2 linked regions of the Ovis aries genome follow. The protein of the gene in region 1 purifies or fractionates together with the protein of each later gene. This does not show direct contact. Links are inferred from orthologs where the notes say so. Each region holds a gene or a part of one and is shown on either strand. Other genes may lie near its edges.

Evidence for each region. The genes of interacting proteins can lie anywhere in the genome.
Region 2: the proteins of PPME1 (region 1) and PPP4R2 purify together in Homo sapiens (affinity purification with mass spectrometry; 3 studies listed by BioGRID and IntAct, counting the BioPlex papers as one, with this or other methods). This does not show direct contact. The link is inferred for Ovis aries from reciprocal best matches to the Homo sapiens genes PPME1 and PPP4R2.

What each region holds. Positions count from the first base shown.
Region 1 is NC_056068.1:52,311,958-52,315,613, reverse strand, and holds part of PPME1 (protein phosphatase methylesterase 1), read right to left. Parts: intron 1,813-3,656; coding exon 1,755-1,812; intron 1,306-1,754; coding exon 1,254-1,305; intron 1-1,253. UniProt on the Homo sapiens protein: Demethylates proteins that have been reversibly carboxymethylated. Demethylates PPP2CB (in vitro) and PPP2CA. Binding to PPP2CA displaces the manganese ion and inactivates the enzyme.
Region 2 is NC_056072.1:28,761,860-28,765,515, forward strand, and holds part of PPP4R2 (serine/threonine-protein phosphatase 4 regulatory subunit 2), read right to left. Parts: intron 3,624-3,656; coding exon 3,586-3,623; intron 2,726-3,585; coding exon 2,651-2,725; intron 2,412-2,650; coding exon 2,274-2,411; intron 1,605-2,273; coding exon 1,315-1,604; intron 1,060-1,314; coding exon 743-1,059; 3' UTR 1-742. UniProt on the Homo sapiens protein: Regulatory subunit of serine/threonine-protein phosphatase 4 (PP4). May regulate the activity of PPP4C at centrosomal microtubule organizing centers.

The DNA.
Region 1 (3,656 bases):
TGTGTGACCTCGCATGATTAGTTACTGTGCCAATTTCCTCATTGATAAAAAGGTGACAATATTTACACTATGGATTGAAACAAATAACTTATTCTAAATGTATGTTTAATTTATACTTAATAAAGCCTGGAAGATAGAAATCACATAAATAACATCTACTGTAACAATACAATTTTGGCCACATGAATTTGGGTTCTGAAGGAAAAACAGAACTTTTACATCCAGATTCAAGCTGCTAAAGTAAGAAGGGACAAGGTATTTTTGGTGCCAAAAAAATACTTGAGAGAGCATGCATTAAAAACATGAGAGACCATGTATTAAAAGCAAGGTAGCTTTAAAAAGCCTGTTTACAAAATAGAACATTGTATGTGTATGTACTCAGTCATGTGCAACTCTTTGTGACCCCATGGACTGCAGCCCACCAGGCTCCTCTGTCCATAGAATGTTCCAGGCAAGAACACTGGAGAGGGTTGCCATTTCCTACTCTAGGGTAACTTTCCAACCCAGGGATCAAACTTGTGTTTCCTGCATCGGCAGGCAGATACTTTACTACTGAGCTACCAGGGAAGCCCATACAATACAGAATAGTGGTTCCCAAATACCAGTCATGGGACTGGCTGCATCAGATTCCTCTATAGAAATTTATCAAAATATAAATGCCCAAACCCACTGGTAGAAGCATGAATTCAAGAGCTGTGAGGCAGGGCTGAATGATCTGTACTTTAAATCATTTCTCAGATAATTCTGATGAATGGCCAGGTTTGAGAGCCACTGTAGGTGCTATACTCATCTTTTACTTTGCAGCCCAGGGTATAATCAGTTATTCTTTAATACCATGTTCCCATCTTACTATAAAGCTGGAAAAAGTATGTGGGCAGGATATCTTAAGAACACCTTAGAGGGCCTTTTGTAAACAACTATTTTTCAAGCTTGGGTCCCCAGTAGATATTCAGGTTCTATTCACCTCTGTGAACAGAAAGAAACTTTTCAAAAGCTAACAGAGACTAAACTGTTCCCTGAAAAATTTTCAGGGCACCATTTTAAATGATGACTATCATACTGAATATAACAAGAAACTGGGGGTTTCTTTCAATATTAAATAGTAAAGAAACACCAGATATAGAGGGGAAAAAAAGAAGTAAAATGTTCTTTGTTATTTATTGTTCAACAATCTCACCAGGACAGCCATAATGATATATTATTATTTATGGTAGTAATGTAAGCCAGGTGATTGTATAAACAGTATTACTTACTTTGCCATTGTTTCTGCAGACAGGTCTTCAGAATTCCTGACTTTTGTTTCGCCTAAAAAGAAAATATTTTAAAAATAAAATTCCCAAGGAGATAAATGATAAAATCAAGAGTACTGTCTTCCAAAAATCTCACTTAAGGATAATGAAATGGGGACTTTATAATTGTACATGATAGGCACAGCAAGGATTTTCTGTTACAGACATATCTTTATGAAGGATAATTAGAGTAGCAAAGAAGGAGGATAATTACAGTAGCAGATTTTTCCACATTCCTTATACACCACCAGCATTGGAATTTGGTTACATTAGCAGACATTTTCTCAACAAGATATACATGTGTGTGAATTTATAAAATATTTGTGAAAACTAAAAGCTAGGATTTTCCTCAAAATGCCCAAATGGAAATGACCAGACCCAGTGAACTTTTTTAATACTTTACACTATTCAAAAGGGTTGGCAAATGTGTCATTGAGTCAGTGAGTAATTAAGAACTTCACTCACCATGACCTCGAAGATCCAAAGCCACAATCCTACACTGAACTCTACTAATGATTGCTGCCTAGGAGGAAAAGGAAAAGTATTAAGATACATCAAGGTTAGCAAATCTTTCCCCATTACTAATGATAACTTTGTTGGGTGAACTGCTATCAGAAATAAACGATCCCAAGAGAATTAAAGGAATTCCCCTTTAAAGAAAAAATTTTAAACTAATGACTCTGTTTTTTTGATACACATTCTGGCTCTATCCCAACTTCAAAATATGAAATCCCTCTTTAAAATTTAACTCTTCCTAGCTTTCCATGAAACAGAATAAGCACCTCTAAGCTAAGCCCCTCTGAACTCTGCTATCACCTATGATTTTCATCCACACTCAGTGGTTATCTTTTCCCTATTCTAGAAGGGAAATTCTCTAGGTAAGAACCGTGAGTCAGTCTATATCTTGGTTCAGCATATCACACAAATATGACACTCAGATAATGAAATAACCTTGAAAGCAGCACAAGTTATAAAATCTACCAAAGATTCACTTAAGATAGAGCAGCAGTACACGTAAGTTTGTGCCAATTAAAAATATATTGAAAAAGAAATCATAATATCATGAGCCAGTACAATTTTATTGGTTTAAACAAAGCTGAAATTGAGGATCTTCTTCCTCAAATGAACTAGACTCTTTGAGAGTAATATATCACAATTAGTGTTAGTAAACATCATCAACGCTTTTTTAACTTTTAAAAAAAGACAGGACAACTATCTAGGCTAACTGCTACATTTCATGAACGAGGAAACGGAAGTCAAGAGAAAGGAAACTGTCTTCTCAGGACCACACAACTAGCAGTAAAAATGAGAACCAAGGTAAGCTACTAACATAACAGTCAATGTATAACATAAAACAAATCAAAGCTCTTAAATCACATTTTCTTATTTTATTTTTAATCAATGTTTTTCATACATTCACATTATAAAAATATGGAAAATTAGTAAGAAAGAGAGGAGAAAAAAGCTCATATGATTTGCCATCTAAATGTCATCTCTTTGGATGTTTCCTATGATCTTTTCTCCCAACTCTGCTGGAATATTATTGACATATAATATTAAGGCACCGGATGTGATCATTTGATACATGTGTATATGCAAAATGGTTATCACAATAACCTCCAACCTCTCACATAATCATCACCTGTGTGTGTGGATAACATTAAGATCTATTCTCTTAACAACTTTCAAGTGTGAATACCATAATTAATTACAGTCACCATGCTGTACATTTAACAGATTCCCAGAACTAATTCATCTTACAGCTGGGAGTTGGTACCCTTTGGCCAACATCTCCCCACTTCCCCCACCTCCTAGCTCTTGACAATCATCATTCTAATCTCTATTTCTATGAAGTCAGCTTTTTTAGATTCTACATATAGCTGAGAACATATATTATTTGTCTTTATCTGACTTATTTCATCTAACACAATGCGCTCAAAGTCCTCCATGTGGTTGCAAAAGGCAAGATTCCTTTCTTTTTCATGGCTGAATATTCCTGTGTGTGTGAAAAAGATACATTTTTTGCATGGAGCTATTCAGTTTCCCCAACATCATTTATTTTAGAGATTATCTTTTCCCCATGGAGCCTGCTTGGAGTCCTTGGAATTTTTGGTTTCAGTGAAGTTGAACTTATTAACCTTTTTTTTATGGCTTCCACTTCATGTGGCTGCACCACACCATATATTAATGTTCTTATCACCTTTTTAAATTCATTAGTTAATCCATTAGGATTTTTTTATATTAACATTTTTATACATGGCTTATTTCTGGATTCTTTCTGCCAATACCATACTACTGATAAGAGTTTTAGAATATGCTTTGGTTCATGTAGTGTTGAAGCCTTGCTTAGAGAATTTTGAGCATTAC
Region 2 (3,656 bases), on another chromosome or scaffold:
CCACAGAAGTATACAAAAGAATTTAGTTTGAACAGATCTCTTGGAATGTGTTTAACCTGGTATTTCAACAGACTTAAGATTTCCAGGGTTTCACAGGGGCCAGATTTTATCTGAATTACTCAGAAGAGAAAGAAACTGTCTTCTGAAAGAGGTGAACTCAATCATTACCAATAGAAAAAGTATCCACTGTATTCATCTCTTATAGAAACAGAAAAATATAACATTTCCCCCTTAGAATAATATATATATGTATATATGACTTAAAGTTCCATTGTACATAGTCAAACAATAAAATCTGGAAACCAGCATGAAACCCTATAGTTCACATGTTAAAATGCTGAAACTATGACCAAAATATGAAAACCACTAGAGCTGTCAGAAAGAGACAAGACAAAAGCTTCCTTGCATATGTAATAAACTAAATGTGATCATCTCCAAAAAAGTTTTCAAAATTATAATTATTTTCCAGTTTAAAATTTTTAACCCTAAAAAAAAAAAAAAATCTATACACAAACCACTGATTTGACCAGACCAAAAAAAAGTCAGCGGTAAGCAGGACCCAGAGGAGCTGATATTCACAGTTCTCACATGAATCTCTCTTTCAGGATTTATCCCATAAAGTATTTTATTTTACAACCTGCTTCTCTTGTAAAACTAAAGGTCCACTTTATTACATAAACGTTTTATACAGTGTAAAACCAGAACTGTATGTAAAATACTGCATCTAAGTATCTCTAAATAGTTAGTCTTGTTCCATTGGTTCATCTGTGACTTCCGTGGCTTCGTCATTTTCCATGGATGATTCTGAAAGAATCTCTCCAGTTTTACTGGAATTGGATCCTACTAATTCTTCTGTTTCATGGCAATCAGAACCACTACTTACAGGGCCTGTATTTTCACTACCTTCAGAATGTAAACCTCTCTCAACTTGAGTCAGATCAGATTCTTCCATTTGATTATTTTCCTCAGAAGTCTCTTCATTCACAGTTAAGGCATCATCAGATTCTTTCTCTTGATTTTTTCTTTCTGCGATCATTTCTCTTGATGTCATAAAAGACTCTAAAAATAAGCAAATGTTGTTGTAGTTAAATTTGATTTTCAAAATACCTCCACAGTTAAGTTTCATGAATTCTGATATTCTATAGTTCAAATCATATCCCCTGAAACTCAGCAGCAACTACATACAGGTGGGAGAAAAAACCCAACATCAGCATTATAAGGAGCTCCATTATGTTAAATTCTTTCACGCAAAAATGAAGTACAAGAATTTGAGGATCTCCTTACTCCACCCTTTTACAGATGGTCTCTAAATACCTTCTTCTTCCTCTTCATCCTCTTCCTCATCCTCTTCTGTACAGTGCTGCCTGGTACAACTACTTTCTTTGTCTTTATTCTGAGATGAAGATGGAGATTCTGTTTCTTCTACCATAACTGAAGAAATTTCACTGGAAGAGGTTTGACTGGCCATCTCTCTGACTTCACTTTCTTTGTCGAACCTGAGTCTTTTTACCTCATGCCCTTCTGCCTCCACAGTATCTTCATCTGGATGTTTATTTTTTATAGGGCTCACCGAGGAACCTTCTGATTCAGATGTTGAAGAGTCACTGTAAATATTTTTAAAAGTGTCATTAATAAAACTGTTTCTTCATCCTTTACATTCTATTTTTGAGATCTAATAATATGTAACTTTCACTGTGCAAGTTAAATTGTAACATCTCGGCAAACGAAAATAAGAGAATAATTCCAAGGACACCTCAACTGTTAAACATTTCCCACTAGGACTACTCAATAAATTACATGACCTTTGTGTTCAATTCTTCAGTGAGTTAAATGTCCTCTTACAATAAAACTACAAATTCCCCACTGAGACATACTCTTAATTCCTCTCAACTCACTTCTTTCCCTTAATGTGGTAAGAAATTCTGAGATGGGATATCAATAAAAGATTTCCTTTTATGATCTACGAAGAGAAATGATCCACAGAATTTGAACTCATTTACAAGTATCTTCTCCAAGTAATTTTCTAAAAGAAAAAAATGTATCATGATCATTTTCTTAACACCCTATTACAGAATCTTCCCAAACAAGCAAGTAAGTCTTTTCTCTGCCCATTGTCAGCAAATGCTAATGCCCTTTTTAAGTGCATTAAAATATTTTCTCCTCCTTAAAACAACAGTAAACTGTAAATAATAAATAAGGAGTGCTGAAAAACCATCCATAAATGCAACTTTTTCGGGAAAACATTTGTTTTCAAAAATAAATCACATACACACCTGTGATTTTTGTCCTCATTCTGCTTTGACTCTTTGCTGTCTGTGCTCTCAGGCAAGCCATTTGTTGTCATGGGAACTGACAAAGGAACTTTTGGTCGATTAAGCGGCCTGGGTGTCCCAGGCCCATTTATATTAGACCTATGGTAAGAGAAACGAACATCATTTTCCCATTTTTTGCAAAAAAAGTCATCCCTCTCAAGGTTTATATGCACACATCACAAAAATACTTTCAGAACCAAGAGTCATCAAATTAATTCTTTTTGGTATATCATCCTATACTTGCCATAAAATTCCCAATTTTTAAAAAGTACATTGAGTTTCCTATTCAAAATTTAGAAACTGCAGCTCTCTGAATAATAAAAAATTAATAATCTCACCTCTCAGTGTAACTTGGTGAATTTCCAGGAAACATAACACCATTCATTCGATTTAAACTATTGGAATTGTTCTTCCTATGAGAGGGAAAAAATTTTTTTATGGATAGTTCAGTTAACTTTGATAAGAGTCAAGAGTCTAAAAGATCTTTTGTAAGACTTCAATGTCACAAAATCAAACAAAAGACTTCTCAGAGAAATAACCATGAAATTATCCTAGTATCTATCTCATTTAACAATATACAAATATATTCTTCAAGAGTTCTGAAACAAATTCACCATAATCGTTCTATGAAATCAGGTATCTTAATCATTAATCCAATGCTTCTCAAGAGGGGGCAATATTTTCCTACAATCCCTCTTCCTTCACTCCATATCCTAGAGAACACATTCAGCAATGAATACATACATTTTTTGGTGGAAGTAGGGGGGACATTACTGACATTCAGTGGAAGCCATGGACACTGAGCTAAACCTTTTGTAATCCCAGGACATCCACTCCTAGTAAAATACCAGTGGTACCAAGGAATGTGCCCTACATGGCTACCTAAATTTACTATATAATTTACTATATAACTTGTTAATTCCAATCGGAATTAACAGTCCATCATGAAGAGCAATGTCATCAGGATGGTACATAAATCCAACAATGTTAAGACTGCAGTAAGTCATGACTCTAATACAAATCTTTTCACTGGAAAAATATATGCTGCTGCTGCTGCTGCTAAGTCGCTTCAGTCGTGTCCCACTCTGTGCGACCCCACAGGTAATGTTTACTGGTAATATTCTACTCTGGGAACTGGTTGGTAGTTTCCTAAGTATTTACAAATGTTACCATGCTTAATTATATATAAAATAATTGCAATGGACTTTTAAGACATATATTAAAAATGAAAAAATATAATATACTAGGGAAAAAGCAAAGTAGCTATACTTACTCTGAGGAAGGATAAACACAGCTAACAACCATCACATTCTGCAATAACAAAATTTACTGATTAATATGAGG